Linked DNA regions of Caenorhabditis elegans. The protein of the gene in region 3 binds, or shares a complex with, the protein of the main gene of each other region. Each region holds a gene or a part of one and is shown on either strand. Other genes may lie near its edges.

Evidence for each region.
Region 1: cul-2 (region 3) and fem-3 share a complex: the UniProt entries of both Caenorhabditis elegans proteins name them as parts of the E3 ubiquitin-protein ligase complex.
Region 2: cul-2 (region 3) and fem-2 share a complex: the UniProt entries of both Caenorhabditis elegans proteins name them as parts of the CBC(fem-1) E3 ubiquitin-protein ligase complex.

Annotation. Positions count from the first base shown.
Region 1 is NC_003282.8:9,099,958-9,110,528, reverse strand, and holds fem-3 (Sex-determination protein fem-3), read right to left. Parts: upstream 5,564-10,571; 5' UTR 5,328-5,563; coding exon 5,257-5,327; intron 5,167-5,256; exon of another isoform or gene 5,159-5,166; coding exon 4,814-5,158; intron 4,769-4,813; coding exon 4,690-4,768; intron 4,319-4,689; coding exon 3,971-4,318; intron 3,889-3,970; coding exon 3,798-3,888; intron 3,418-3,797; coding exon 3,185-3,417; 3' UTR 2,922-3,184; downstream 1-2,921. Other genes in the region: aly-1 (Chromatin target of PRMT1 protein C-terminal domain-containing protein), read right to left, coding at 863-1,332, 1,382-1,583; C01F6.14 (Ovule protein), read left to right, coding at 6,408-6,632; gldi-10 (AMP-activated protein kinase glycogen-binding domain-containing protein), read right to left, coding at 8,969-9,222, 9,290-9,521, 9,569-9,694, 9,744-9,891, 9,979-10,473, 10,522-10,571. UniProt on the Caenorhabditis elegans protein: Required for male development. In XO (male) animals, fem-3 directs male differentiation in all tissues. In XX (hermaphrodite) animals, it specifies the first 80 or so germ cells to be sperm. Negatively regulates male development when bound to tra-2.
Region 2 is NC_003281.10:629,111-639,411, forward strand, and holds fem-2 (Protein phosphatase fem-2), read right to left. Parts: upstream 5,517-10,301; 5' UTR 5,463-5,516; coding exon 5,424-5,462; intron 5,370-5,423; coding exon 5,030-5,369; intron 4,619-5,029; coding exon 4,422-4,618; intron 4,372-4,421; coding exon 3,762-4,371; intron 3,463-3,761; coding exon 3,299-3,462; 3' UTR 2,909-3,298; downstream 1-2,908. Other genes in the region: T19C3.6 (uncharacterized protein), read right to left, coding at 1,278-1,442, 1,749-1,877; eakr-4 (EAK-4 Related), read right to left, coding at 5,783-6,130, 6,188-6,310, 6,371-6,430, 6,485-6,583, 6,932-7,057; sbds-1 (Ribosome maturation protein SBDS), read right to left, coding at 7,603-8,028, 8,589-8,660, 8,829-8,958, 9,166-9,299; tag-266 (Golgin subfamily A member 7/ERF4 domain-containing protein), read right to left, coding at 10,047-10,217. UniProt on the Caenorhabditis elegans protein: Dephosphorylates auto-phosphorylated Ca(2+)/calmodulin-dependent protein kinase unc-43/CAMKII in vitro. Involved in the regulation of sex determination.
Region 3 is NC_003281.10:13,686,017-13,698,173, reverse strand, and holds cul-2 (Cullin-2), read right to left. Parts: upstream 10,524-12,157; coding exon 10,495-10,523; intron 10,444-10,494; coding exon 10,300-10,443; intron 9,558-10,299; coding exon 9,497-9,557; intron 9,363-9,496; coding exon 9,223-9,362; intron 9,061-9,222; coding exon 8,955-9,060; intron 8,733-8,954; coding exon 7,059-8,732; intron 6,565-7,058; coding exon of another isoform or gene 6,559-6,564; coding exon 6,466-6,558; intron 6,206-6,465; coding exon 6,077-6,205; downstream 1-6,076. Other genes in the region: cyn-2 (Peptidyl-prolyl cis-trans isomerase 2), read right to left, coding at 4,483-4,680, 4,839-5,090, 5,374-5,442; WD repeat-containing protein dyf-2, read left to right, coding at 11,729-11,740, 11,798-11,886. UniProt on the Caenorhabditis elegans protein: Core component of multiple cullin-RING-based CBC (Cul2-ElonginB-ElonginC) E3 ubiquitin-protein ligase complexes which mediate the ubiquitination and subsequent proteasomal degradation of target proteins.

The DNA.
Region 1 (10,571 bases), on a different chromosome or scaffold from region 3:
TTTCAAAGTATTGAGTATTCATAGTTCGTACTTTTGACTTATAATAAAATGTATTTTTAATATTCCAAAGGTGTTTTCTTTGATATTCTTGCTATAAATTTCCCCACTGTCGCTACTCCAAATCTAATGTGAACAGTACACATGCTAAAGTAGAAAAATAAAAACCATTTCAAGAAAGTTCAAAATCTCATCAAAACTCAAAAAAAAGGATCGCTCGAGTGTATTTTGATGATTGATTATGGGTCAAGTGGATTTCTCGGCGGAAACGAAGAAAGAGTGGAACAGGATGATGAAAATAAATTTGCAAAGAAAAAATAGAGAGACAGAGCTCTGTTTTTGCAAACAATTTGAATGATTTCACTATAAATTTGTAGTTTTTAAATGAAAGAACAAGAGTAAGCAATGAAGAAGAAGCATAATAATCACATTTGAAACGGAAAGAAAACAGTTTTATGGGCACCATCAAATGACAAAAGAGATAAATAAATGAACGTTCGCATCCCTAATTGGCACTTCTTTTCAGTGTGTGTTTGATCACGTACCGCCTAAAAACGATTGAAATGGGCATTTCCATTTGACTGACGAAGGGATGATATGGGAACTAATATATTTCTATCGACACCTCCTTTTTTGGTTTGATTCATTTTAATGTTTTTTAAAAATAATTTTGAACAAATATAATAATGAAATTACTTTGTTTACGAGGAGATTTTAGCTTTACCGTTTGTTCGCCGTTCAATATGATTTCTTTTTAAATACACGAAACACGGGTGTTCTAGCTTTTGATGTTTTTATTAGGTACAAAATTATAAGTTATGAAAACATGAGAACAAACAAGTAAAATTTGGATTAAATTAAATTATTAGGCTTTTGACATATACACATCGAGCTCCGCATCCAACTCTTCGAGTGTCTTCTTTGGTTGAGCTTCTCTCTTTGGCTTCTTGGCCTTCAATTTCTTTTGAGCTCCAGCCCCTCCTGTTGGTTTTCCTGATTTAACATTCTGCCTTTTTGGTGCTCTTTGAGCTGGTCTTCCATTTGATGGAGCTCTTCTTGGAGCTTCTGGGAACTTGACACGGTTTGCAATATTTGCTGAATCAATGATAGCGAATTTGATCTCCTTTCCGTCGAGTGAGACTCCGGCAAACTTTTGGATGAGACGATCAGCGTGACGTTTTGGGAGAGTCACATCTCCGGTTCCTACTGGTTTTCCGTGCTCGTTGAAGTTCACGGAGACGTTTCGAATTTTGAATTCAGCGAAGAGTTGACGAAGGTCCCCGGAGTGAACGGTGTGGGCCAAGTTTGACAAGTTGATACGTACTTCACGGTTTTCTGGAAATGTTAACCATAACTTAAGAGCAAAATGGCATTTATAACTTACCATTTGCTGGAATAGATCTGTCAACTGTTCTGATTCCTCCACTTTGGCGTCTTGGTTGCGCAGTTGGTCTTCTTGATGGTCCAGCAGTTCCAGTGGAGAATCTCTTTTTAACTCCACCAACTGATGCTCTTTTGATTGGACTTTTCTTTGTTCTTCTGATTCCAGCGGAAAGTGGAGCATCGATAGCAATAGCACGAGCCATTTTGATAGAAGTTCTCTGAAATTTGATTCATAAATAATTGATTGAAGGCAATGAATGTAGAAAGCTGAGATGTAACATTGAAAGAGGGTGAGCAAATGGCAATAAGAGAACTAATATAGTCAATTGACTATTGTTGTACATAAATTAAAATAATGAAATGGAAAAGAGACCAAGTCGGCGGAATGAATGATTGACTCTGTGTGGGATATTCTCTGAGAATGGGGAAATAGGTAAACGCAGCGTTTGGAAGTGAAGACTTTTCAATCGATAGACTAGGTGGATGGAGTATCTGGAGATGGCTACTTGGAACTTCGGAGAAGATGGGAAAGGTCGTTTATCAAATTGGCAGAGATAGTATTATTTTAATTAGAATAGGTAGGTGACATCAAAAAATAAAACACAGAAATTACCAATTTGGGGGAGTTGTTGAAGATTGATTATTAAATTCGTAGTTTCTTTATAAAGTGCTCGATTCTTATCAAGAGGAACTTGGACATCAAAATTTAAAGATTGTAAATTATAAAGTTTAGAAAAATCTAGCCTGTATAATTTTTCTTAGTTTAGCAAAGCTTTAAAAATATATACAAAAGATTGGTAAAATGCGACTTACTTTAGAACTACAGAGAATTTCATATAACTATAATACATTGGAAAAGCAAAAAAAACCATAAATAAATGAAATATGTTATGACCATCTCGGTAAATGAATGATAGAATGAATTAATGCATATAGATCGAGCATCCATTAAAAACAGATCGTTGTTAAAAAGGCGGGACTGGTGCTGTGGAGGAAAGGGTGACGATCTTGGGATTGTTAAGAAAGTTGGCAGATGATGTATCGAATGGGAAAATACGAGTTTTCTAGCACACGCGAATATGTGTAATGTATATCAGTTGAATAGAAATTCAAATTATATTCATGTGGAATTGTATCGATATGTATCCTTTTCAGCATGACTTTTGTACTTTTTTATTCAGAATGACAAAAAAATATTAAAAATTGAAGGAAAGATGCTACATTATGAAATTGATGGTTATATTGGAAAAATATAACTTTCGAAATATTTTACCAATTGAGTCGTAGTAGACTAATTGCCAAATAGTGGGTTTTTTGTAGTTCGGCTTCTAGCAATGAGCAATAAACGTTAAATCAACTGAAAATTACACAAAAACTCGTAAAAGCAACTGGAACTCTTAGTGTTTCATTCGAAATGTTTCGAATGCCACACCCGTACACATTTGAATGAGTGTAAACCAACTGCGCACTCAACAGATGCTATTGTTTGTCTACCAGAGCGCACTTGCGTAGCGTCTAACCAATTGTAAGCAGCTTAATCGATATTATCTATACCTTTATTTTAAATTAAACAAATCTTAAAACAAATTAAAGTGATATGGAACCAGCTTTTTTTAGCAGTGTACCATTATGACATTTTTCAAAATGTAAACCAGAGGATTCGAAAGTGAATGACACAAGAAGCGTTAGTGAGATAGAAGGCAAATCGGTGATATTAAATAGGAAATCTGGGTAAAATATAGAGAGTTAGACTTTCAAATGAAATAATATTAAAATTAAAAGCAAATCATTATAACAATTGATATCATCGTTTCCTGGAGCAATCAGTAGCATAAACATTCATAATCCGAACATCATCAGAATAATGAACTTCATAGAAACGATTTTGATATTCTTCAATATCTTTTTTTCTTTTAATTGTTTCATAATAACCAGATACATCTAGAGGTGAGTAGCGAGAGATTTCAAACGGCGAAATTTGTAACTGTAGACGGGAAATTGAGAAATCATCAATTGCCAAGTCGAATATGATGTCTTCTGAAATTAGAACAAAACATAGTTGTGAAAGAAATTTTTTAATCGAAAAAGTTTCAGAATGGACTCTTTTTAAATGTGGAGAATTTAGTAATACCGAAAACGTGATTTTTTAAAAATTTTTGCTAACATCCGGGTTTGAATTCAATACAAAAAAATGCCAAAATCGAAAAAGCATGTTTTCAAACGATGGATTTTTTATGTCGATTTTTTGTCTTTCTGTTGTAGAATTTAGAAATTTGCGACTATGAAAACAAAAATTCCCTTTACGCTATTCGACTTTTGATGATTTTTTAAAGTTTCGCTTTAAAAAAATTGTGTTTTATATTTTGAAAAACATGTCATGTATATACTTTTAAATTATTTTAACAATAAATTCCTACCAACATTCTCCATGGCTAAACGATAGTGCTCAATACGTGGAAGCCCTCCAAATCCAGTTATGTCGCACCAAATCGTTGTGTGATATACAATCTACAAATGTAAAATAGTTTTTAACGCTTAAAAGCTTTAAATTAATATATGAGTACATAAATAACATTTTTAAAATGCTTACTTCCAAAATGCAGAGCTTCGCAAGCCAATCCAAAACCGTAATAATCTCATTTTCCAGTGGTGGCATTCCAAGTGCTTCATGAAATCTTCGAGCATAAAACTTTGAGAACTCTGTGCCACGTGGAACCACAAACGTAGTATGATACTTGGATTCATCTTCGTTCCAAAAATATTCGGGTGGATAAAAAGCGGCGATATTTTGAACAAGGCGTTGACCACGGGTAGCAGCGTAATTATACATTTGGGAATTGTTCCAAAACTGTGGCATTCCCGGAATATTGAAATAGAGTGTATGAAGAAGAGACGTGTAGTGATTGGAAAAGGCCGTACAATTCGGATCCGGATTGGGCTGGAATTAGGATTTTAAAAAAAGTAAAATACAAACGGAAATGCGCCGTTGAAGAGTACTGGAATTTCAAGATTTTGTTTTTGTTAAATTTTCACCGGTTTTTACATGTTTTCCTGATTTCTTAAAATCCCTGTTTTTTTTTGGTAATTGCGTAATTTTAGTTTTTTAATTAAAACAATTTTCCGAAAAACTAAGAAAATTCCGCAGCGACGAAAGTTTAAAATTACAGTACTTATTAAAGGCACACACCCGTTTTTATTTAACTAAAAATTGTCGTGTCGAGTCGGATATCCCTTTTTTGGTTCAAAAATCGAAAAAAAAATCGGGTAAGTAGAGCTTGTTTTAATTTATGATAAAACAAGGAAACTCACTAAAAATTGTCGAAAATACATGTAAAACCGAAATTCATCGCGATGAATCAAATCTTGCAACTCGAATCGAGTTATTTGACTGAAAATTAAAATTTTATTTTATAAAATTTCAGATTCGCCTCACACTTTCCCGTTCCGCCTTGCCAAATCATACATAAAATTGCAATAAGTTACAATTGTCTTCATTGTTCTTTGAAAAACGAATCGAGTAATTTCATCATTCCTTTCATATCCAGCACCGGCTGTTATTAATTGAATTGAAGTAATTTCAAGAAATCGATCAATTGAAAATTCATCCCAAGGATTTTGATCGAGAAGACTATCATCATAATACGTAGCTCCTGTCAATCGTTGTCTTTGTAAAGGAATTCCAGATATTAAAGGCCAATTGAGATCATCTACTGTTAAATTAGTCACTCCACAGTACTCGTCGAATCTTCTCATTTGTGCACGGAATTTGACATTTCTTCTGAAAACCTAGTTTTTGATCATTTTAGTTTGACTGGATGTGAATTAAAGAATTTAAAACAATTTCAACAAAAAAAAACATTAAAAAATTTAACTTACTTTAATTTTAGTTTCTGAGCTCTCGTTTCTCTGTCAGCTTCTACATCATCTGAACCCGGATCCACCTCCATTACAGTTACAATTGAAATAAATGGAAATCTCTCTTATTTTTACATTGAAATTTCTTGCTGGTCACTTCTTCCAATCCACCGTAGTTAACCGACTGGGTGGTCTACTACCCGTTTCTGGTTTTCTCTGCACTCTCTTCGGAGAGAGTGCAGACAAAATTCTCCGCGTTCGCAGTCCTGGTTCTGTTTCGAGACGTTGACGTCGCCCGACACCACTCCTACAACTGTTCGGACAGCGTCTGCAATTTTCGATTAGTAATATAGTTTTGGTTGTGAATATAATATAAATTGTGAAAAATTGCATTGAGAATTAGGAAAAGAGCATGTGAGAAGAGGAGGGGAATTTTTAGAATAACTGAGAATATAATTTAGAGAAACACGATTACTTCGCATCAATTCAGAATATCTTTTAAAATCTGAGAAATTTTGGTTAAAAAATAACACAGGGCGCTTAGTTTGTGGTTTTCTCAATTCTGTTTAATTTTTAAAACAGTAATTCTTATTTCGATAAACTAAAATGAATATGAAATTTTCTTACGATTAAAAAATGCATGAAACCAGATATAACAAATTGAAGGAAAACTGAAAAACTTCAGAAAGTGTTTTTTTCTGAAAATAAAAGCAGAAAAATTCGAAGCTCGCGCAAAGAACGTAAACGCGCTCCATTGCTAACTCATTTGAACATTAGTTTTTTTCATTGGGCTTTCAATCTTGTAAGTGATGTTTAGGCATCTAAAAGTTTTATAAATTGACAAAATCCAGCTTAAAAGATGCTATCAAAAACTAACTTTTCAGAATATTTATTTGGCTAATGTTTGACCCATACGTTTTTTGCCGAAAAGAATTTCAAAAATGAAAAGTATCTTGAAATGCATCAAAATCCGGGAATATTGCCGATGGTCAGTTTTTCAGCATTTCTAAATTGAGAGACTGAAATGGGAATTTATTTATTTTTATTCATCTGCTTTTTTATTTCATGAATATCCGCATCTGAAATCAGCTTTTTTTTTCAGGAAAATTGATTGAAAGAAGACAATAACAGCTCGTTGTTCAACATCTCGATTCTTCCATATGAATCGATGAATGGAAAAACCGTGGCATTTGGTAAAGTTTTGGCTGGAACCGAAGTTGTCTCCCGCATCGCCTTCAATAAATCAAACACGAAGGGTTCCAAGGCTTGCGTCATCACCGACTGTGGAGAAGTTATCTGAAAGGTTTTATCATAGATTTTCAAATTTTTTGGTTTATTATTATTTCTTTCTTTTTGTTCCGATAAGTCCATATATGAAATTTGTCCAGTTTTTATGAAAATAAACATTTATTTTATTTAATATTTTTTTATTCATCATATGCATGGGGGTTATCATCCTCGCTGTACTTCTGGCTTCGGCGACGGTGATCGCTTGGCTGCTCTACAAACACTTGAGAATGCGTCAAGCTTTGAAGGTTTGATTTCAAAATAAATTTATGAATAACTTCAATAAATTTTCAGCATCTCAATCAGCCACGATCATACCCAATCATCGGTCACGGACTCATCACCAAGCCAGATCCAGAGGGATTCATGAACCAAGTGATTGGAATGGGATATTTATATCCAGATCCACGAATGTGTCTTCTGTGGATTGGTCCATTCCCATGCCTGATGCTCTACTCTGGCGACCTTGTTGAAGCAATTTTCTCGTCGACGAAACATCTGAACAGGGTTCGCATACGTTTTGCTTGAACCATGGCTTGGAATCAGTATTTTGACGAGCCAGAAAGAACAATGGCGTCTTTTTTTGATTTTCTTTTATTGAAGATTTTGGTTCAGAAATTGTGTTGCCTTGGTGCAGAGTGAGAATTTCAATTTATAATTACTTATTTCAAATGTTTATTTTCAGTGAAAGAGTTGATGTTCTCTCCGTTATCGCCCTTTGTACTCTTGATATCATCTGCGAAACTTCCATGGGAATAGCTATCGGCGCTCAACTCGCTGAGGTTTGGGAAAACAACTCTAATCTCAACATTTCTAAATACTTTTTCAGAATAACGAGTATGTATGGGCAGTGCACACAATCAATAAACTGATTTCAAAGCGAACAAATAATCCTTTGATGTGGAATTCATTTATTTACAATTTGTACGGTAGTTTTATCATTAATAAGGTCAATTAATTTGTATTTTTAGAACAGAGGACGGACGGACGCATGAAAAATGTCTTCATATTTTCCATGATTTTACGAAGAAATTGATTGGCGAGAGAAAATAAGCACTACAGGAGAATGATTATAAGATGGAAGGTCGTCTCGCATTCCTGGATCTTCTTCTCGAAATGGTAAACAGTGGACAAATGGACGAAACAGATGTTCAAGCAGAAGGTAACACATTCATGTTAGAGGGTCACGATACAACATCTACAGGATTAATGTGGGCAGTTCATCTTCTGGGAAATCATCCCGACGTTCAGAGAAAAGTTCAAGCGGAACTGGATGAAGTAATGGGCGACGATGAAGATGTGACTATTGAACATCTCTCCAGAATGAAATATCTTGAATGTGCATTGAAAGAAGCTCTGCGTCTCTTTCCATCTGTTTTAATTATTACGAGAGAACTGAGTGATGATCAAGTAATTGGAGGCTTTAATATTCCAAAAGGAGTCACTTTTCTGCTCAACCTGTACCTTGTTCACCGCGATCCTGCTCAATGGAAGGATCCTGATGTTTTCGATCCGGATCGTTTCCATCCTGAAAACTCAATTGGTCGAAAATCATTCGCCTTTATCCCATTCTCAGCTGGAAGCCGTAATTGCATCGGTCAACGTTTTGCACTTATGGAAGAGAAGGTCATCATGGCTCATTTGTTGAGAAATTTCAATATAAAAGCTGTCGAGTTGATGCACGAGGTGAAAATTGAAAGCGCCGCTGATTGGGGAGACTTGCATTTTTTGTATGATTAAGCAATTTAAGCTGTATCCAATATATTGAAAATTATCGCGATGTCTATTTTCTCGCTGAAATGTTTCATTTTGCAATTTTAAATTGCTCTCATAAATAGGCACTATTGAAAATAGAATATAGAAAGTTTTACTTTTTATTTTGAATTTAAAAAATGTTTCTTCTAATGTAAAATTTTTTTCAGTCACAACAAAAGTAAACTTTTTCATATTACGTTTTTTTTTTGAAAGAAATTGTTAATTGCAAAATGAGAAAATTCTAGCGAAGAAATAGATAAATTACAATAGTTTTCAATTTTTTGGATAAAAAAAGCTTAATTAGCCTTTTTTATCCCCATTGGGGATTCCCCAATCGACGGTACTTTGAAAATATAACATGTAAAAATTAAATTTTAACTAAAATTGTTCAGGTCCGTCCAAAAATGGAGATCATCGTTCGCCCGGTCACTCCAATCCACATGAAGCTCACCAGACGCCGTCCCATCGCCTCTCCATGATTTCGAAATAATTTGGAAATTTGAAAATAGCCAGTTTTATAGTATTATTCGAGATTATGTTTTTATTGCATGATAAATTGGAAATTGCTTTTTTCAAGAGAAATCATCAACATGCAAAGGAAATGATCCATCCGGGTCATGAAGTATTATTCAAGTAAATAACATTTTTGAAAACTAAAATTTTTTACAAAACATTTATTACAAAAATTGGACTAATCAAAACGGTAGACATTAATGAGGTAATCATGCATTCCATCCGGCAATTCAATACAAACTTCGAACATCTTCAATTCATTTCTTTTCATCGGAATGTTCATATTCCAACCAAAAAATGAACCAGTCAATGTAACGGAATCTACAGTAGTCGGTTTTTCGTCTGTCCAACGGAACAACACCTTCTGTTGTCCACCTTTGACAAGGATGCTTCCACTGCATTCATTTTCAGATTCAGCAAATAAATGTGAATCTGGAAAAAAGACAATGAATCAAAAGCAAATTGTCTAAACCGTTCTATGGTGAAAAAAAGAACTGACCATCAATAACAATATCAGCATCTTGCTCATTTCCAACAGTCTGCTTTGCTCCTAGGTTTGGCTCACAGTGAGATGATGTTTCCGAGGCTTCTTGAACATCAGTCTCAATAAACGATGGTTCAATTTCAGCTAAACTAGACATGAGACTTTCTGTAACCATTGACATTTCCGAAAGATTCTCATCGGAAGTGGCTTCCAAAATATTAGAATCTCCAAGTTGGGCTTGGATAATCTAAAAAATCACGTCTCTGCATCAAAAAGTGAAAATGAATAACGAACATCTTGAATTTTCCCAAAAAAATCATTCGAAATACCGTGAAGATCCATTCCAGAGTCTTGCGGAGAAATGGCATCACATGCACCAGCATCCGTTCTATCTTCATCAAGATTTCTGCATCCAGCAATCTAAATTTAAACTCAGAAATGTATTTATAATTTAAAATATTGTGAATACCTGTTTCAAAACCCGTTCATTAATTTGATCACATTCCGAGTGTGAAGAGTTTGGAGCATTTGCAATATTCGAATCATCAGATCCAGTTGATTTACGATTCGATGGTTGAGTACTGTCAGTGTGGACATTTGGAGATGGTGCCATGGTTCTGAAGTTGAGAATTTCAAGGATTATTTGAAACTAAAACATATTAAAATATACAATACATAAAGCCTGTTGAAAAAGACAAACTTACGGTCGAATATTAAAATTGGAAGAAGCATCAAATTGAACTTCATCAAGTGTCATTGTCTGTGGACTCTTTTTAGTTTCTTTTTTAATTTTTTCCTTTCCACTTTCTTTCACTTTTTTGTCTTTTTCTAAACTTCCATTTATCTTTTTTCCTTTCTCTCCAATACAATGATCTCTATCCAATAAAATATCTTCTTCCGAATTCAAATTCGGCACGGCTACAGTACCCTCTGGAATAGTTTTTGGAATAACTGGTCGAATGAACACACAATTGACTGGCTCATTCATCGGAACTTTTTGACGAATCACATCCGGAGTTTTTGGAGTTTGAGGCGAAGATTTCTTGGATCCCATGTTTGTTGGTGATAGACATCTTGGAGTGGATACAGTACTCTGTTGCGGATCTTGGAGCATTGAAAGCATGAGTTTTCGAATTGAACGGTATCCAGCTTCAAGTGTGTAATAGAGACTCATAACTACAATGAGAACTGCAATTATTCTGAAAATTTTCAAGAATGGATAATTGATTGATCATGTAATAACTCACATTCCAACCATCGAATACCATGGTCGCTCCTCACTTCGCTCATACACGAC
Region 2 (10,301 bases), about 13 Mb from region 3:
AACCACCCGGCCATGCGGGAGAAATCTCAAACTGGAAGTAAGGAAGGTAAATTTCTGGAGGGAGTCGTCTTTCGATTCCGCTTTCTTCAATTATAACTATTTGGGGAAAGACGTTCGAAAACCGTTTATCACTGATAAGTCAGCGGAAAACCTAATTTTTGAAAATTTTATTACAGCATTGTACTCATTATTGATTTCCCAAAAAGGAGACGTACAGTTGAGGGCTATATCTTGTACACAGACAGATGTATAGAAAAAAACAAGTTTTGGCCTGAAAATTAATAAAATGAATATCTCTTGGCAGAGTATTTCTAATGCGACGAAACTTCATCTTCCATTAAATAAAATCAAAAACTATGAATCAAAAATACATTCCGCAAAACTTTAGTGGAAAAAATGTTCAGGAGACCCAGGAAACCACTCCCCCCAGTACTAAATTTTTGAATTATTTTTTTCTTGAAAAATTTTCCCACTGAACTTTTTACAAATTTTATATGTCTCGATGCGTCTTGATGAGACCTACACGTCATTTTTTAGAAAACTAAGAAAAATTGAAAACTGACCGAGTTATGATTGAAAAAGTAGATTCGCAAAAATGGCAAAGTGTGCAAAATTTGGCACTTATTCGTCTTGCTCGGCCGACTCATAGAACTTTTTCCAATTCTGAGTTAAAAATCGTGTTCAGCGTACTTTTGTACGTGGGGTAAACAAAAAAAATATCAAAAAAGATGAAGTAGAACTTGAGATAAAGACGAAAAACTACTTTTTCGGAAAAAAATTTTTTTTTGGCAAAATGTCATTTTTTGGCCATTTGTTTTATCACAACTTTTTTCCATTTGCACTTATAATCTCAAACTTTTTTTCAAAAAATCCACCTCTCTGAGTAGTATCTTGCACATAAATTTGGAACAAAACCGAGCAAAACCCGAATTTTAATTCAATTAAAACATGGTTTTTTGGGGGTAAAAAGAACAACAAAAATTTTTTTCAAACTGGGGAAAGCCGCCCTGAGCTCAGTTTTGCTCCAAACTTTGTGCAGTTTTTTGCTCCACCGTGGGGCAAAATATTTCTAGTAAGCTGTCAAATATTATAAAATTCAGTCAAACGGCTCTGGAGTTATTAATGAAAACGTAGTGTGACATTTTTTCGCAAGCCAAAAAAAACGCGAAAAAACGCGAAAAAGGGGCGGAGTCTGTACACTCGGCATTTATTAGAGGCTGCTTGGCAGAATTTCTAAACAAAAACCTTTAAAAAATCAATATTACATTCCAACTAACCCGTATCTTGTGATTCATTGAGGCTTCGGTCTGCTTCTCCCTCTCAATTCTAGCCAAACATGTTTTCATAGCCTTGCATTCAGCGAATATACTTTTCATAGTGTCTTTCATGGCGAATCTTGCGTAGGATTCGAACGTGTCGAATATATTCTCCCCAACACGGATCTGGAAAGCTACAAAAAATTCGAAGACAAAAAACTATTTTTTTCTTTTAATTCGACACTTAACTGATGAAGGAGGGCGTTGTCAGAGTCCCATTTCGGTTTGATCTACGCAGATCTACAAAAATGCGGGAGTTGAGACGCAGAGTTCTAAAATGATTTCGCATGGTCAGGAACGTGCTGACGTCACATTTTTCTGGGCGAAAAATTCCCGCATTTTTTGTAGATCAAACCGTAATGGGACAGCCTGGCACCATGTGTGGTAGGCTTGGTGTAGGCATAGCATTAAAATCATAAAAAATCATCTCACCTCGGTAATCTCATCCAAGTCATTGTAGTCGAACTCTACACCCATAAATTTGCACAAATGCTTCTTGGTAACCGAATTTTGGAGCAAACGATACTCTCGCCGTCCCAGAATACTTGTAACCAATCCCATCGCAGAAAATCGAGTGAAAATGAGAAAAAAAAAGTGAAGTCGACCAAATTTTATATGCGCCTCTAATTGTTTTTCTCAGAATTTGGCAGGGGGTGTCGTATATGAATTTGGATACTGTACAAAATTGGGTGAAAAATTATAAATATGCCGTTTTTGTGCATCTTCTAATTGTTATTGTCTACATGACTAGAAATTGTGATGAATAGAAAAAAAAGGGAACAATTTAATAATAATTCAGATTTTTAAAGGGTTATATGTATATCTTCCTAATAGTAAGTTCATTTTAATATATCATTTTTATAAATTAAAGTTATTCGACGCAAAAAACGGCGAAAATCGAGGCTTAAACTGCAAAAACAATTATTCGAAATGCTCTGTGACGTCACAAAATTTCAAAAAATATTTTCACGCTTTTCTGGCGCAGTAGAGCGATGGGACAGTCTGGCGCCACATGTCGGTGAACATTGGGTTACTGTAGCTCCAAAAGTATGTAAGTACTGTGGCAACACCAAATTTGACGACAAAATGCTGAAAATTTGTAAAATCACCAATGACGCTAAATTAGAATTTCGTATCGAAAATTTAAAAAAAATCAAATTTTGTAAAATTCCACCATAAAAAAAAATTAAATTCAAAATTTTTTGGACCAAATCTTTTTTCCTTAAAACGCGCCCAAACCTGGCTAAACTGCAATTATCAGTAGAGCGCGTTTACACTGATGTACCCTTTGCCGGGCCGTGTTTCAGCTAAATTCTGCTTTCTTTGTTAATAGAGCGCATTTGCTGTAAGCGGGAAATTTGAAATTCCCTCTTGAAAATATGACTTTTTTAATCATTTTTTCGCGGTGTTTTCGAGCTTTTCTTTCGAAAAATCCCGGATTTTCAATTGAAAAGGAGATTTTCTACTGAAAATGACTGGTATACTCCGATTTTTTACATTTTTCACGAGTTGAAAAGTTTACAGTCATTTATGAAAATTCAGTGTTCAAAAAGTGTCTCAAAAACCTATTCAGCTACTCAATATCCCAGTAATTCCACGTCATTATACAATTTATATCATAAAATAAATTCAAATCAAATATATGTTCAAGTGGAGGAGGAGAAGGAAAGTACTCGGATTTTTGGTGGGATGCCAACTGGTTGGAAACGTATGTAAATGTGAAATGCTACAGGAACACCGAGAACAAAATATGTGTGTGGGTCACGGAAAGCTGCTAGATAACGGGGAGAAATGACGACGATATGGTGAATAGGAGAGAGAAAATTGGAATACCCAAAAAACAAATAGACACAGGAAAACAGGGGAAAATTTGATAAAATCGACCGAAAATTAGGAAAAAAAACGACAAAAATTTGAGAAAATCAACCGAAGTTTAGCAAGAATTTTCCCAATTTTCAGGCAAAATTTCCACCGAAAAGCAGTTATTCCTCATCAGTGACATCGGAATCTTCATCGTCTGATTCATGTTTCATAAGCTTCCACACATCCTGCGGTGGACGCAAAAAGCCAATCACAACAGACACGTTGTCGGCACTTCCAGCCTCAATCGCTTTTGTACAGATGAAACGGGAGAGCTCCGCGTAGTCTGAAAAAATTTTTTTTCGATTTTTAAAGAATTTTCTACATTAAAAAATAAAGTAACGTCGGCTAATGTTTTTTACCTTAAAAATAATTTTGAATGGTTTTTTTAAAAATTGATTTTTTCAAATTTTAGTAAATTACCCGATTTTCTTTTTTAAAAATACAATAATTCGAAAATCTTTACTTTTTTTTTTGAAAACCCCCGAAAAATAGCCAATCTTCTGATTTTTTTTCAGAAAAAAAAAACGAAAAAATAGTTTTTGGCTTTGGAAATTTAGTTTTTCTCCAAGAATTTTTATTAACCTTCAACAGGATAATCATTCGCAAATGCCTCCACCAACTGGTACAGGTCACGCTCGTTGAAAACATCAGAAATTCCATCACAAGCCAGGAGCACCAGATAATCCGAGCTTTCAATAGGCACCTGACACGTTTCCGGTTCATTAGAGATCATCGGCCGTCCAGGAACATCTCCGAGTGCTCGGGTGAGATTTAGAACTCCGTTCACCCGCAATTCGCCTCCAATCACAAAAAGCTGGCCGCCAGCTTCCTCAACACGCCGAGCTTCCCGTTCATCGGATGGCGAGTGTCCACGTGTCAACTGACGGAATTCAATGTTCGACATGACGTATCCGGGTGAGTCACCGAGCCACGCCAGCGCCATAAGCTTCTGATCCATGTCGATTGCACAGCAGACAGCTGTACTTCCACCCTTCCAACACTCTTTCACACTTCTGACAGTCATTCGTTCGTCGAGAAGCTCCAGCGACTTGCGAAGCTGATCTTCGAGGCTATCTGAAGGATCTCGCGATTTTCGAACCTCCAACCATGTCTCCCAAAGGTGCCCGGCTGCGTACTGAGAGCACTCGTGACCACCGTGACCATCGAACACCGCTAACACCGAAATTGGATCCTAAAAATTTCATTTTTCAGTAATTTTCCAGGCCTAAAATCCTCCTAAACCTCTCCACGATCCATATATTGCCCATTAGGATACGCCAAAAACCGATCTTCTTGCTTGTGACGTTGCCCTTTCAGTTGATCGCCCGACACGTGGATTCCAGACCACTTTTCAGACAGAATCGGGCACGTTTCGGCGTTTTGCTGGAGAATCTTGTCGATCGCCGGCCAAATTTTGTCGTTGAATAGCTTTTTGGCTTCTGAAAATAAGTTGTATTGATGAACAGAAGTGTTGAGTTTTTGAAGATTTTTTAAAAATTCTATTTAACAAGTTTTATTTTTGCAAAAATTAGCAGATCAATGGGGAATGGCCAGCTAAAAATATTTAGCAGACCAATGAGGATAGGTCTGCTAAATATTTAGCAGACTCATGGTAGGTATGCTAAATATTTAGCAGACCCATAGGTGGTCTGCTAAATAATTAGCAGACCCATAGTTGGTCTGCTAAATAATTAGCAGACCAATGGGGATGGGTCTGCTAAATATTTAGCAGACCCAAGTTAGGTATGCTAAATATTTAGCAGACCAATGGGGATAGGCCTGCTGAATATTTAGCAGGCCCATGCTTGGTCTGCTAAATTAATAGCAGATTTTGCACATTTAATAATTACCTGTGGTACTATCGGTAACATAAATATCAGGATTATACTGAACATCTCTGAACGCAACTTCACTGAATTTCTCGTCAATTTCTGTGGCGATCAAGTGAGACACCCAGTGACAAAAGTCGACCGCCTGGCCTCTTTTCATCATTTTCTGGAAAATGTCGTGAATCGCGTCTCCGAAAACATCATGAACTGGTCCGGCGATTGGTGGATGACGGAAACGTATTGGAATATGCGGTTGTGGAGTGTCGGCAACCTCGACGTCATAGCTAGTTTTCTCCATTTCATCTGCAAATGCCTCCTCCAGAAGTGACCGGACACTTCGACGGCGATCGCCGATGTGATCCTGGAATATACATTTTTCTAACTAGCATTAAATATATAAAATCCCGTTTTCTACCTCGAAAACCGCATCCCGCTCCTCGTTTACTTTTTCCATGTATTTTTCCAGTTTTAAAACCACTACCGGCTTCGGTGGGACAGCTGGGTTGATCTGACATTTCAATAATTGTTTTTAACATAAAAATCAGAGAAAAACCGAGAAAAAACAATGGATTTCAACACAAAATGAGGAAAAATCAACAAAAAAATAATGCAGAATTTTCTGCACCAGAAACGCGCAAAGCTTCTCGTTTGCGCACTTTCGGTGCGTTGGCGCGTTTCTCGCGCGAAATATTAATTTAATTCGCATTGTATTGTATTAATAACATTTTTATCAAATCAAAAATGGATCAAAAATTTAAAATAAAAATCAATTATTCATATATATCCATGCGCGCCAAGATAATCCCACTCCACATTCGGCGTCTGTACTTGGCTGTCCAAAAGATCCCATTCCTTCACTTTCGCCCTCTCCGCCCAATTACATGCTTCATATTTGTGGATATATGTCTCCTTGAAATGCTCCCATAGCTCATTTGCCACGCGATACTGAAACTCCACGTGGCATCGGAATTCAGCGGGGTCGGCTCTAAGCTTGGGTAGCGAGTTGTAAGCTTGAACTGCGGCATTTTTTCTCAACTGGGCGTACTTATCGATTTTCCACGTGGTTAGTAAGAAGAAGTCCTTGTAAAGAATAAGAAGAGTATCGATGATTTCACCGGTTTCCTGGAAAAATCGCAGATTTTTCTTGAGTTAACTCAAACGCCATTGAAGGCCGCCTACCTCATCCTCAGCACCCAAATTCTGAAGTTCCCTGCATTTTCTCCGAATCTCGTACAACGTTTTTTTATACTTGTCGCGAACCTCGTTGTTCTCTACTTCAATGACTCGTTGTCCGGCGGGAAGCTGAATTCATTAATTCAGTTCTTGATAAATGTAATTTTGAAAAAAATATGTTTAAAAAACCTCGGCAACGTCAATTCTACCGTTATTCGAGAGGGTGATCGGTGTGCGCTTGTAGATTTCCTAAAAATTTATAAATTTGAGAAAATCCGTGCCCGTGATTAAGAATATTCTCACCTCAAAAATATCCGGTTTTTTGATAATCTCGTTACTTTTCGAGTAAAGTACACAGGGGCGTTCAACATTTTCCTCCTCGGGATTCACAGAGATTTTGACCTGAAAATTTCTTGAGCTTAGGTATAGGCATACGTTTAGGTATTGTCAAAGGCATAGACTTAGAAATTGGCATAGACTTAGGCGTAGGCTTTGGCTGAGGCCTAGGCTGAGTCTTAGGCTTTGGCTGAGTCTTAGGCTTAGGTGTGAGCTTAGTCTTAGGCTAACCTTTAGGCTTAAGCTTAGGTGTAGGCTTAGGTTTAGGCCTAGGCTTATGCGTAGGCTTAGGCTTGTGTCTCCAGGCATAGGCTTAGGTTTAGACTTAAGCTTAGATTTGTTTTTTTTTTCGAAGGTTTCTCAGCAAAAAAGATTGAAAACATAAGACTCTGAAAAAAAAACGAAAAATATTACCTTTGGGTCCCGTTCAGCAATACGTGGGCTCTCTTTCACCGCAACTGGGCCTGCCAGCTGATAGACGCTGGAAATATTATCTGTAGCTGAATCTACAGTGCACAGGGTTCCAAGACATTGCCCCATTATCGGTTGTGACAGGGAAATAGAGGATTACTTGGCGAAGGCTCAACTTGGTAGGCCGCCTAATTTACAGTACCCCACGACTGCCTTGTTTTCGACTAGTCCGGGTTATTTTTAAATTTTGTTGGAAAAACAACAAGAAAATTGTACAATTTCATGAATTTCGCTGGCCTGGTGAGTACTGTAAATTATGCAAAGTGATGGAAAATAAATATTGAACGAATTTTTTTCGAGCCGGGGAAACTTAGAGAATTAGTTTTCTAGCCTTCAAATCATGTTCCTGGGGTTTTTTTCCAAATTGTTTTTCTCAAAAATTTGTAAGATTAACACTTTTCATTTAAAAGCAATAATGATTTCTGAAAACCTGACACAAAAAGTTTTTGGTAACTGGGAAAAAACATGGGAACGTTGATGATAACAATTTGAGATCCAAAAAGAATTCTCGGGTGTGTGGAGGGGAAAAAAAGAAAAACACTCAAAAATGTCTGCACATTTTGAGTGCAAAAGAGCAAAAAAGCAACAAAAAAATAAAATTTTTAACATGAAATTTAAGAAATCTGCAATTCTCCTTCGACGACATCCTTCAAGCTGAGAATCTCCAATCTTCCGTGTCCCTTCGTCTCATTTCGGACCAAATCGTCCAAAGCTCTGAACGATCCGGGCTCAATGAGCCCAACCATCTCGAGGCTTCCATCCTGCCAATCGTCAACTTCCACGTCACTGAATAGGGTTTTAAGCTTCGTGTGCACGGATTTCGCTTCTTTTGTCGGAATCGCCACACGGATCTTCATCTTGGCTCGTTCGATTTTCAGAGTTTCACGAAGTTTTGGAATTGCGTCGAGAGCCTGCTGCTTTGAGGAACGATTCGGTTTCAGGGAAAAGTGCATTTCTTGTAGAGCTTTATCGATTACTGACGGTGGAACTGGACGCTTCGTTTCAGGATTTACGACCATTGAGGCAATCAGCTGGGATACCTGGAAAATTGAGATTTTTCAGGATTTTTTTGAAGAAAAATTAAAAATTTTCAGGAACTTGTTTGGGAGAAAATTAAGATTTTTTAGGAATTTTTAGAAAAAATTGGGATTTTTCAGGAATTTTTTTGGAGGAAAATTGAAATTTTTTAGGAATTTTTTAGGAATTTTTTAGAGGAAAATTGAGATTTTTCAGGAATTTTTTTGGATGAAAATTCACATTTTTCAAGAATTTTTTTATATAAAAATTGAGATTTTTAAAGGATTTTTTTTTTGGAGGAAAATTAAGATTTATCAGGAATTTTTTTTGAAGGAAAATTGAGATTTTTCAGGAATTTTTTGGATGAAAAATTACATTTTTCAGGAATTTTTTTGACGAAAATTGAGATTTTTCAGGATTTTTTTTGAAGAAAAATTGAGATTTTTCAGGATTTTTTTTGGAGGAAAATTTACATTTTTCAGGAGAAAAAAACTACCTAATTTTTTAAAAATTTAAAGAAAAAAACAGGTTTTTAGCCTGGAATCTAAAATTTTTTCATTTTTTGCTACGTGGCAAGTTGTACCTCTTTCAGCGATTGATCTGAAGCCGCCTGACGCTCTTTTTCCGACACTTGCAAGTCTCCTTTGTCGAGAATCTGAAATTTAGGAAATATTGTCTTTTTCTACCTATTTTGAATAAATTTATTCAACTTTTTAGATGACAAATAACACTAATTACACCAAATTTTAGGCCAAAATGTTTTTTAATCTGAAAAAAAAACTTTAAAATTTCTTTTTTTCCAGAAAATCCAAGTTTTCCTTACAATTTTACAAATTTCCAACTGATCCTCGATTCCAAAAGCGGCGATAAGCTCCTCTTTCTTGGAAAGTTGTCCTTTTGAGACATTTGAGAAGACTGTATGGGTTTGGAGCACCTCGTCAATGTCTTTTTCGCTGAAAATTTTTTTAGATTTTTGGGAAATTGTTTAAATTGATTTTTGATATGGTAAATATTAATTCCAAAAAATAATATTTGAACAAAATTATTCAAAAGGTTAATTTAGAAACAACTGTTTTTTTATTTATCACTGAGAAAATGGTTTGAGAATTAAAATTTTCAGATTTCTATATGATTTTTTTAAAAATTAATATATATTTTACCTCTTATTTCTCCAATTAACAACTTTATTCTTGTAACAAGCGATTTCAAATCGTTTTCCGGTTTTCTTCATTCGAACCACTGCCACATTGGTCAGAACTTTCTGATTTGTCGGCGTTTTGATATTTTTTGACATTTTTTTTCGGCTGAAATTTTAAGAGATTTTGGCATTTTTAATTTTAAAACAAAAGAGACCATTTTGAGATATAAAAATAGATTTGAAACTACTTTTTTTTCAAATGTCGAAAAAAAATTTTAATCTAAATTTTCATTTTAACGGAGAATCTGAATTTTTTTAAACTTTAAAGTCGATAAATCAAATAAAAAAGAGATAAAACCAGTCGTTGAGGTGAGAAGAATGGGTGTTTTTCGGGGTCGTAGCGTCGAAAAAACGAAAAATCGGATTCGAATTTAGTTAAAATTGGGTCTAAATGACTGAAAATTCGGTATATAAGAATAATTGGAAAATTTTCGATAAAATTCAAATTTTCTGAGATTCAAAAAAATTCGAAAAAGCTCACATTAGTTTCAGAAATGAGAATTTTCATGTTTTTTTTCGGAAAAGTAGATATATTTTTCAAAATTTTAAAGAATTTCAGTATATTTGATATTTTCCGAATAATTTTCAAGCCAATTTTCAGTCATTTAAGCCTGGTAGACTAGATTCGATTTGAAAAAAAAAAAAACTAAAAACCCTGAATAAAGCATTGGGGGAAGTGGTGGTGGTGATGACAATCGGGAAATATATACAAAAATAGACAGAAATACGGAAAAATCAGGTCAAATGGAAGAACAAAAAAAGTACAAATTTGTTTGGAAACAGTGGGCGAAAATGCGAAATTTTTCGAAAAATGTGCAAAATTTCGCAATTTCCGGATGGGGACTAATCGGGAAGATTTAAGGCGGGTTTAGGCAAAGTTTTCAATTCGAGCACATATTCGGTCAGGCGGTCTGAGGGCTCCGTTGGGCGCCGAGCCAGGGACCAGTGGAGGCCCAATTTGTGATAAAGGCTAACATTCTCGTGGTCCAGACATTTTTCCAGCGCTAAGACGGTCTGAAAATTGGGGAATTTAAGAGAAAATTTAACTGAAAACTGGGCTGTGTCGATTTACGGGGATTTTATCTAGATTTTTTCAGT
Region 3 (12,157 bases):
GTATACAGAAAAGTTTTCGACTATAGCCAGGGGCCTCCCAAAAAGTTCCAGTAGAAAATAGAGAGTGTCCACATGGAGGGTCCCGAGCCGCCCGAGAACAAGAGCATGGGGGGAGGGAGTGGGGGCCGTATCTTTTACTCTGCGTCTCTTTCGTTACTTTGTCCGTCCGCTTGCTCCGAGAAGATGGTGCAGAGAAAATAAAGCAGTTGTGCTGTCCAGTGGCGTCCGGCAGCTCCGAGGCGCGGGAAGCGAGCGCAAAAATAGGGATAGGAGGAGGGGAAGGCTTCTGTTATGGGAACAACATATTGTGTGTGTATGTACGAATTTGGGTTGATATTTTCTTTGGGCATTCTTTGGTATGTGGGAGTTAAATACTCATACTTACAGAACTGTAACCGCAATATGGATTTCAAAATATGTGCTACCAAAAGTATAAATATTGGGCAGATTCAGAAAAATAGCCATATTATCCGACCAAAGTAACATTTAATAAAGTCTGTGATCCTCATAACGTTGAGATTGTATGTGCCATAAAACCCGTGGTAAATTTCGATTTTGATTGATCATCGACATGGTGCAGGGAAGTGAGAAACTTTTTAATCGTACGCAATTAAGCTTTGCATTACTTGGCATACTGTCGAGTACTAAATTTGTTGCCAATGTTGGCAGCGTTGGCAGAAAGAATTTTTTATTCCGGGAGTTTTTTTCCAAATGTTTGATTATGAGCAACTTTTAAAATAATATCTCATGGTAACCACGGGAATAACCTTAAAATACGTATACGTTGCAAACATATTTTTATAATTCCTTTTGTTGTTGGATGCTTTTTAAAGTTGCATGGCTTTGCTCATGGTGCATCGGAATCCAAGCATTTGGAAAGAATTTCAAATCAAATGCACTGCTAACTTAAACTTTGAGTAGATGTGGGTGAAAACAGTCAAAGAAATTAATTTCGTCATACATCGTTTTTTTCTGAATTCACAAAAATTTGAACCGATGTAATGCAACCTAGTGATAATCTGAAAAATTAAACTTTGAATTTTCACCAAAAATTTCCTTTTCCAAAGCGGCCGTTAAAAAAATTCGCTGGCCGAGCTTTCTTCAACTTTTTCAAAACCAAATAGCAAAAAACTGTAGCTTTGCATCGATTTCTACCTACAAACTCCCCATTCTCCACACGAAAGGGGTGTCTGGGAACAGATGGCTGAAAGGGAAAATGTGCGTGTAATTTATGAATGAACAACATGCACACTCATAGTAGAAAATGAAACATTTTGGTTGGCGACCAGGTTTTTGAAAAATTTTGTGAAATTTTATGTGTGGGGAGGGGATGATAAATTTGGTAGAAAAATGGAAATTGGCATAAGAAATGGAAAACAGGTGAGCGAACCAATTTGAATAGATTTTAGATTTTAAATTGAAAGATTCGAAATGTTTGGGTGAAAGGGAGTTATAAGGAGCATGTAATACCAATTTAAAATAGAATTCCTTAAAACTCTGACTTTTCAAAAATTAAGGTAAGATATTTATATTTCAAATTTTAAAGCGAAGTTTGCCCATCTGCATTTAAATTTGAAAAAAAAACGTGTAAAACACATTTTGATGCACCATGGAAATAGTTCTTATATGCGCCTCAAAAATATTGTCGGAAAAATATGAAATCTTGGAAAAGGTTTATAAAACGCAAACGTGGGACCCTGGTATTTTGTACGGTATTTCCATGGTAATTTCGCAAATTTTTTAATGGTTGTAGAAAGGAGAAATAGATATTTAAAAAATAAGCCTTTTGCCGATTTAACTAATAGTAAAAACAACTCGGTGAATGCCAAAGTTGGAGAAATCGAGAAAATTCAAAAAATTAGTTTTATTATATAGTTTTGCAAAATGAAATCTTTGGGGAAAAGTTTTCCGATTCGAAAACTGATGCAAATTTTTTTCAAGTTTTTAATAAAAAAGATCTCGAATTTTCAAAATATTTCCAAACGTCATATGCCACAAACATTGTAATGCAGTCGAAAATAAAATTTAGGTACACCGACAAAATCCAGATTATGAAAATGTTGAAAAATCAATAATTATTAAAATACTCAAAGAAAAGTTATATATTTTTAAAATTCAAACAATAGATAATTCAAAAAAAATTGCCAAATCATTGGAAATTTTCGGCAATTTTTTTTTCAAAAATATATGTACAACTACTAGAAAAAGTAACGTGATTAAAAGTGTAGAAAGAAGAAATACCATGAAAGCGGGGAAGTTCCAGGACCTCCACCACCATTAGTTTTCGCATTTCGTTTAAAAAAATCGAAAATCCTGATAGGAAAAGGGAAATGCTTATGAGAAGAGAAATTCGAGGAGGGAGATGGAAAGTGAAGAAATTGCTGGAGAAAGTAAAAACAGAAATGAAAGTGACACTGAACAACACGAGACACACTTACTGTCCCGGATAACGATCCAATCGACCAGGAACCTTTTTTTTTGACAACACATTTGTTGGAAGAGTTTTTAAAACTTTAAATTTATTAAATAAAATTCAACGACACAACCAGGTGTGCGCGGCAATCAGAAATGTTCGGCAATTTTCAAAACTAGTTATATTTCGGAAATTGAAAAAAAAATGTCACCTTGTATTTTAGTATTCGGTTTGTCATTTTCGAAAACAAAACTGTCAATCCTTACAATTAGATTAAATCATTTTGAGCTTGAAAAGAGATAATTGTTCAGTAAAATGCGTGTTTAGGCTCTTACATCTATAAAAAGTTTCAAACTTACAGTTCGGGCAATTCTGATTTTCGTAAATCGGCAATTTCAGCAATTGCCGAAAATTCGTTTACCGTACGGCAATTGACACGTACCCCTGGGCATAACAATAGTTTTCTTTGCCAAAAAAATTGATTTTTTTTGAATATTTTGAAATAAAAAACATGGTATTTACACAAAGTTTTGTGCGGAAAATTTGCCTCATTTGCCGTTTGACGATCTTGGCAAATTTGCCAAATTTGCCAAATTTGCCGGGCACGGCGTTCAATTTTGAGCAAAACAATAGATTTTGTTCCCAAAGTTTAGTAAAATAACATAAAATGCACGGCAAATTTGCCAATTTCGCCCTGCTCGGCCAATTTTCAGATTTGCCCCACATGCCTGCTGTAAACACTAGGCTAATACATAGTAAGGTTGACAAGTTAAATGACAAGCAATCCGCACATCTTGGTTTTTTTGAGTTTCTAAATCCAAAGTGTCCGATTATAAACTAAAAAGCCAATGAATGGGAGCAGCCTATTTTGAGAAAAACACAGGATTTGCTGTATACAGTTATTACGGGAACAATAAATCATGAGAATGCGTATGTGGAGCATTTTATTTGTCATATCTCTTAGCGAAGACTACAGTAAGAACTTAAATAACAATAGTTATTTGAGTTCTTACTGTAGTTTTCGCTAAGTGATATCGATATAAAAAAATAAAATGCTCCACGTACGCATTCTCATGATTTATTGTTCTCGTAATAGTACCGCAGATTTGAGCGGAGCCTGTTTTCAGATTTAAAAAAAGCTTGCTAACGATACCTTTTTACAATTCACTCAGTTAGAGATAAGAAAAGAACTCGTCCATATTTATATTGGTTCTTGAAAAGCCAAGACACTGGCGAAGTTTATTTACAGGAAAAACGTCTGTAAAATTTTTTTAAAGCTTATTTTTATCGATTTTCAAAGTATTTTTGCTACAAATCAATTTACTCAAAAATGAAAGAAATGCAAGAAAAAACAGTGCTATATAAAACTATGGGGAAAAAGTCAGTAAGCACTCTTGATTGGGGGAGTCATCACTGCTCTTTCTCTGCGTCTCTTATTGACCATCTGCCTCTCTTTTTCTCTCCCTCTCAGTTTTTGACCGAAAATAGCGGTGGTGATGATAAGAGACGTAGGCATCCAGAGAGAACTGTACATACGTCACCACGCGGTTTTCAACTTTTTTTTGTTACTTTTATATCTCTGACGGAATTCGTGTAGGCGGCTGGGCAATTTCTAGAAAATTCACGCAACAAAAAAACGACTGACATTTCAGCAAAGAGACTTCATGGAAAGTTAGTTCGGGGGCCTCTGATTTGTGGAAGTAAATATATTGATATAAAACTAGAGTTTGCTGAAAACGTGAAAGTTTGACTTCAAAATTGAAAGAGCCCTCTAAAAATCCACGCGGCAGCCTTGTATGAGGGACTCCGTCAAAATTCCACAAACTTGCATCCCCGGAGTTTGTTTGCCATAAAATCACAAAGCTTTTGAGGCTGAGACATAATATTTAAAATTCTAATAAACTTTAGAGATATAAAGTGGTCCCCCCACTGTAAATACGATTAAAAACTTCACGAATCATTGTCTTTCGAATTCACGTATCAAAAACTATGCTTTGTTAAAAAAATGAATAAAAATCATATTTATCCAATAAAAAGACGAATTCTCCAGTGTTGTTCTTCGAGAAGCATCACTTCATTTCTCCGCAGTCAGCAATGACGCACGGAGCCGACGGTGCCCCATCTTCGGATCCTTTCGACTCGATCGCCTTCACCACATCCATTCCTTCGATCACTTTGCCGAAAACCACGTGTTTTCCGTCTAGCCACGTGGTTTTGACTGTGCACAGGAAGAATTGCGAGCCGTTTGTGTTCGCCCCACAGTTTGCCTGAAAAATCAATAGTCAATTCCAGAGCGCATAAAATTTCAGAAAGCCCGATATTCACAAAAATTTCAAAGAAAATTTGATCAAATATCGACAATAACAGAAAAATCGATAACTTGAGTAAATATAATATCGATTTTTTAGTTTTTCAGAATCTTCACCATCGACAAGACTCCGGGTCCGGTATGCTTCTCCTTGAAGTTCTCGTCGTCAAACTTCTCGCCATGAATCGATTCTCCGCCGGTGCCGTTTCCCTCCGTAAAATCGCCGCCCTGGATCATAAACTCGGGGATGATGCGATGAAATTTGGATCCTTTAAAGTGCAACTTCTTGCCCGATTTCCCTTTTCCTTTCTCGCCGGTGCACAGAGCGCGGAAGTTTTCCGCTGTCTTCGGCACGATGTCGTTGTAGAGCTGCAACGACAGGTTTTAAAAATCTTTAGTTTATTGATTTTTAAATGTTGCCAAAATCTAGTAACTTCCTGAAAAGTCGAAAAACTGGCAAATTTCTGCAAGACCATTGAAAAAGATTTTACAATCATCCTAAAAACCGATAACAGAACGACAAAAATCGATAAATGGCAACAAAAAATTATATCGATTTTCTCAATTTATACTCATTAAAGTGCAAACTGACATACCACTAGCGCCTACAGTAATCATATTTGCTCCGAGAACCTAACGCTGCCCCCCTTACCTCCATAACGATGCGTCCTCCCTTCTTTCCGCCAATCGTGATATCGAAGAACACTTTGACACGTGGCATCGCTGATCGATTCTTTTCGCAGTAATAAATTTAAAACTACCGACGTTCAAATTTTCCATTATGACTTGCCACGTGCCGTAAGAGTGTCGTGGATCAAAGTTCAAGTTCAAAAACGTGAAAATTTAAATGAAACAAAATTGGAATTTTGGGAAGGATAATTGTCTACTTTATCGTAATCATAGAGATTCCGGAGAAAAAATAGTTGCTTGAGGAGGGAGGATAGAACACAAAAAAAAGACAAATATAGTACATATACATTTTCAAGGAGAGGCTACGGACTGGTTGGTTTTATAGGCAAATAGCCGTTTGTCGGGAGTAACAGAGAATTTCCCGCGATTTTCAGTTTTTGAGGGCTCCAAAAGTATAAAAATAGGTATTCCAATAAACAGTTTGATGATTCCCCGTTGCGCAGCTCCAGCAAAAAATGATATAAAATATGTAAGATGAGGGGCGAGGGGATTTACTTTCAGTACAGTTCAATTTGGAAAAAAAGCAATCATTGTTAGAAAATCTTGAAAAATAAAATTATAGTGGGGATTTTGAATGGCATGTTTCAGAGTCATTTACACAGTGTAAATTTTAAATTTTAGTTTTTTGCCTCTCAGGGAAAAAACACGCAAATAGGGGGAGAGAATTAGGCCAAATATTGATACTCGTCATTTTGATCGGTTCGCTGAATATACATTTTCTCGATAAGGTCCTCAATGCTCTTTTTGATGAATGGTACGTCGGGCGAGAAGCGGCCTTTCGTTTGGTCCATTATCTGCAAGAAAATGTTGTTTTCCGCATTTTTGATGTGGAATAGCACATTTTGCAAAAAGATTTTTTTCGCTTTTTTTTGGGGGGTTCCGGACCAAAAACTGTTTCTAAAATTGTTTGTTTTTCTTTTTTGGAGGAAAATCCACTTTTTGATTTTCAGTTTCTTGGTTCAAAATTCAAACAAAAATATTTTTGTAAAGCATTTTCAGTCGGTTGAATATCTCGTTTTACAGGGTTTTGACCAACAACAAAAATCTAACAAACCTCAGTGACAAGTGCATTGTGTTTCAGAACCTTCCTGGTCTTCATAATTCTGACAATTGCGCACTCCATATAGTACTTTCGGTCTTGTGAAACCTGGAACTAATATTGACGATTGCGAGGCACACGTGTTTGGATAATCTAGCTGCATCGAGGCGGGGCCTAACTAAATACGTCTAGTCTCTCAGAATTCTAGGCCACAGTTTATAGCTTTGATTTAGGCTCATTGGCTCAAAAAGGGAGCAGATAAATTGTTTAATTGATTGAATTGACTCAAAGTTTCCACAAAAGACCAAATTTCATAGTGAGACATTTAAAAAAATTTTACGAAGGTTTAAAATTTCGAAAAAACACCTAAACTCTTTATTAAAGATTTTTCAGCATTTGAGATTTTAGTTGAGCTTGGCTTGTTTTAATTTCCACCGTCATAAAAATGCTGAGAATTTTTCAAGGTGTCTCATTTTAAAACTTGGTTTTTGAGATCGTTTAAAAATTTTTAAAGTCTAGGACTAAATAAAATACAGATTTTTAGTGCTTGAACTCAAAAAGTCATAACTTGAGGCCCTCGCCAATGAAAAACAAACTGAAAACCCTACAGTATTCGCGACGGCCTCCTGCTCCTTCTCGACAGCCTTATTCACTTGTGGCGCCTGAAGCCGGAACTTCATCCGTTTCGACGTCATCGACATGTTCAGACGAACCAACGAGTCGGCCGTTAGATTCTGATCATCACACGTCAGCAGGGTAACGTCCAAAATCGTTCGAATCGTCTTTAGCAGATAGTCACCGCTCACACCAATCTCCTCTCCGATGTCCTTAACGAGGATAGCATCGCGACGTTCAAAGCAAAGCAGCGCTGCCATCTGATAGACATACATCTGTGCGACATACTGCTTATCGAGGTATGTAAGCCTGACATCTCCCTGTGACATATTGAAAAGCCATGTCAGTTTTCGCCCGTTGTGCTTCCCAGTGTAGAACTTCTCAAACTCCTGAATCACAGGCTGCAGGATACGTGGCAGATGGAAGTTGGCCACGTCTTGTGCGGTCTGATTATTCGAATTCGTAGAGAGCTGTGGAGCGTTGAGCGGCCAGCTACCTGCCTGCAGAATCATCGTCTGTGTCGGCACAAACTTCACGTCGGGCTGCACAGTTTTAATGTCCGCAATGTGCTTATCAAAGTTGTTCGATAGCTCCTGGCTAAGCCCGATATCGGTGAACATTCGTGACAGTTTACTGGTGAATTCATAACCACACGCCTGTTTCAACTTGTTAATCATCAGCTCCTCGGCGTCCATCGATATCGATGTGCTTGCTATAAGCCGATTTGCGAGCATTTTCGAGTAGAACTTCTGGAATATATCCTTATCCTCTATATAGCGGAAAATCACAATTGCACTGTCGAGTTTCGCCTCCAAATCCGTCTCCGATAGTCCTTTCGTGGACTTTTTGAGCAACCCATCCGTATATCTCGCCAACCGCTCACTGGCCTTCGGCACCGACTGTCCTGGCTCCTTCGAGTTCACGACTCCCTGCAACGCCTTGTCGAGTCCACTAGAGAACTCGCCATCGTCCATGAACACAGCAGTCTTCATATCATTGAACTTGTTATACACCCGTAACACATTCTCCACAAATTGCTGGGGTACATTCTCGCCGGTGAGCCTCGACACCGCCTCGAGCCCCTTCTTCTTCACATATTCCTCGAACTCCTTAACCATTACCGAGAGTCCCGCTTGAATGGGCTTCAACAGTCTGTACATGTTGCGGAGGTCCTTGTTCTCCTCATTAGTAATGAGATCATGGCACACTGCGTGAAGTTTATCCTTGTGAGCTTTTATCATAACTTTCTGGCACAACGTGATAACTTTCTCCACCGACGATTCGTGGAGATACTTCTTCGCACGCATCTCTTCTTGTTCGAGGAGCACTATAACCTGTTCCATGTACTCACTGCAGCTGAGGTCGGTGAGCATTTTTTGTGCGAGCGCCGAATAGTACTGTTCCGTATCCGTAAGAAGCGGTTTCTCAAAGCTCTCCTGATAGAACGCCGTTGTCGACTCGCGAGCCTTATAGCGTGCTCCTTCTGCCGGTACAACGTCGAAATCCGTCTCCTCCATCTTAACGAAGCTGTTAATGACGCCGGAGACTTCATTGGCGATATGCGGGAAGTTTCCTTTCCGATCATTGTCAATCGCGATGAGCAGAAGTTTGACGAGCTGCGGGAGAATGGTCTTCACGAGGTCTTCTTTCCAGATTTCTAGTGCGAGCTGAAAATTTCGATTTGTTTTTTTGGTTCAAAACTTCTCAATTATTTAATAGTTATTTTCCAGGAACACAAAATTTTGAAAAAGCGCACTGTGGTCTTAACTGATAATCATCGGCCACGGAAGTCATCTCCGTGGCCTAGGATTTTATTTCCACCCACTTTTTCGTCGAAAACATAAAGAAATTTCTAAAAACCTGGCGCAATTTTTTTGTCGCAAACTCACACATCCGATCTCCTTGACGTCTGGAATCTGCAGAAAAGCGGCGTACTGCGCGAAATTGTCCAAATCGGTGCATCGCTTCTGTTTTACGAATTGTTTGTTCAGGTATCTGTAAATAATGTTTTTTTTTAATTCTCTTTTTTTTGGGTATTTTTCAATTCTTTTTCTTCTACAACGACGCAGTGAAAACGTTTCACAAAAATGCATTTTGGAGCATTTTCAGATCATTGTTTGAATTTTAAAAAGAATTCCGAAGAAATTTCACACGAACCCAAAGAGACGGTGAATAAAGATGGCTCCCTCATGGAAAACTCTCCACATTTTGTGATATTCCTGAAGCAACAGATCCGGATCAACATCGACGATATCTTGACGCTTTTGTCGAACATGCTCTTGAATGCAAGCCTTCACCTGTAAAAATGGAAATCTTGTAGTCTCATCACCAAATTCGCTAGAAAATCCTTTTTTATAGTAGAATCCGAAGAAAAAAGTAGAATTTTAATTTTTTTTTTCGGTTTTCGTCGAAAACGTCAAATTCGAGATACCTCATTATACAATCGCTCGCTCAATGGAGTCGGTATCGATACACAAATGTCGTAGACGTCACTGAAAACAATATTTAAAAAAATTAAAAATTTATAAAAATCCAGCTTTTCGTATCGTAAAGTTGTGATTCTTGACATTTTTCTTTGGAAAGTACAAAAATCTTTTTTTTTTTCAAAAATTCTCATGTTTTTTTCCCAGAAATGGATTTTGTTCAAAAAATACTACCAAAATGGTTTTAAAAAGTATGTTTAAGAGGTTATAAGATCATCAATCCGATTTTGCAACAATGTTTTTTTAAATCGATTTTTCGGATAATCCTGAATTAATCGGAAAATAAGTGAATGTTAGTGTTTTGGAGCAATTTTTTACAATTCTTGGAATAATGATTGAGTTTTTCAGTGAATTATACACGTGAAATAAAAAAAAATAGTTTTGTCAAAAAATTTTCGGATTTTGTGGACAAAATCCTCGAAAAACTTTTTTTCTCTGTCAAAAATCGAATTTAGGATTGTTGCTTACAAACAACGCGATTGCTGAAAATAACTTCAAAAATTGATTTTTTAAAACATAACATTTTTACAAAATCGGATTAATAACAAAAAGGTAATTTTTGCCTTATATATAAATAGTTTTTGCACAAAAACTTTAGATATTGGCCAAAAATCAAGACATTTTTGAACAAAAAATCCCAAAAAATCTTTTTTTTCAAATTAAAAATTCGAAAAATCTGTTGAATGACAGAAATGATACTTTCTGAAATTTCTATCACTGGAAAAAATCAAACTTTTCCTTCAAAACTTACCTAAACTTGTGATGCCACTGAACATTGGTGATCGGCCGCAAATTGATGATATCAATGATAGATGGTCTCAACTGCACCCATACTTTGTCAAATTCCACAACTTTTGGCTTCAGTGAGTACATAACCTGTGGACGAGGTGGACGACTGAAAATGATGACAATTTGTGCGAAATTTTCAAAAAAAAATAACGGGTACCGTAAGGAAACTTTTGTGGAACTTGCCATTTTTACGGAAAAAGCGAAAATTTTTGAAATGCGGATTAAAAAACTAAACACGAAAATTTAATTGATAAAAAGAATCACGTGATTTTAATTATTCTTTCTTTTTTTAATTCGTTCAATTATTTAATATTCAAACCGAAAAATGAGAAACCAGGGGTCATAAACCAAATAATATCGATCGATGCGCAGCAGACGCACTCACATTTTCTTCAATATCGGCTCAACGACGGGAAAATTGTCGTCAGAAATTGCCTTACGGCGGCCAAGTGTCGTACGATTCGATGTCGGCTGTGTATTCGACGCCAGTTTTGCCTGTGGACGGTGAACCTCGGACCGGTTTCCTGTGGAGGTTACACTGAAGATTTTCGGGGATATGGTGGAGAAGCTGAAATTTGATTTTTAGAGAAGATATATTGAAAAGAGATAACAAACGTTAAAAATATATTGAACGTCATATGTTAGAAGTTGGCAATGACAATGAAAAATGTGACATGTGAGAAAAGGAGGATTTTAAAAAGGAAATCTGTTTAGAACAAAAATTAAGAATAATTTTCTGAAGTCTAAAATTTAAAATTAAATTAATATTTGAAGTTATTAAAGGTGGAGTCGTTTTGGAATTTGATTATAAAGTTTTCTCTAAAAATTTTAATATTGAAAAATTAAAAAAAAGAATACCCTTTTGGCATTTTTGTGCATTTTTTGGCTAAACTTGGAATAAATGGCCAAAAACCAAAATAAAATCGGAGCAGTGCTACAGTACTAATTAAAAAAACTACTGTAGTTTTCGCTATGAGATACTTCTCAAAATTTAGTGTACCCGTAATGCTCTCCCATTACAAATGTATTTGCCCCAGATGTGTAAATGAATAATTTTATCAAATATTTTTGTTCGATATTCACATAAAAAGATGAAATTGCGGTTTGTTTTTTTTTCTCGAGAATCCAGAAAATTCTACTAATTGTCATTATTCCCAAACCGGGAATGATCAAATCCCCTCTTCCACTTCCCCTGTTCTTTCCTCAATTTGCGTGCTCAACACACACTGTGTAGCCCGGTTACCAAGGCAACAACTCCCCAAAGGCTCGGGTAGCTCAATGATTTGTACTTCATTTTTTGTAACCATTATTTGTAGGCTCGTGACATAAGTGACAAATCATAGGGGAGCAGTGGCAAACGTCGAAAACAACGGAGATCTTCATTCATATAAATGTCATTAAAGGTAATTCCGTGTACTCTCACAAAAAATCAGGAAGTATTTAAATGTGTTTCTGCTCAGCTTCAATATCGAAGAGGCGAAGAAGAGCACGGAAGTGGACCGATTATTCATCGATGGAGACCAAATGGGCATACTGTAGCTGTTGCATGGTTTGTTTATTTTTTGTTTAATTCTTATTTTTAACAGTATCTTTTTTAAAGATTTTTCTTTAAAATATTCAAAATTCAAAAACTCCAAAAAAGACGAAAAAAATCGAGAAAGAATTTAAAGCCAACTTTTAGAAGTAGGATTTTCAATTTTGGCTAATTGTCCTGTTTGATTTTTTTTCCAAAATGGGAGCTTCATGACCAATGCGTTTGCAAAGACCTTGATTGGTTTGAAAATGGGTGGAGCCAATCGCTGATTGTTCAGATTTTTGAA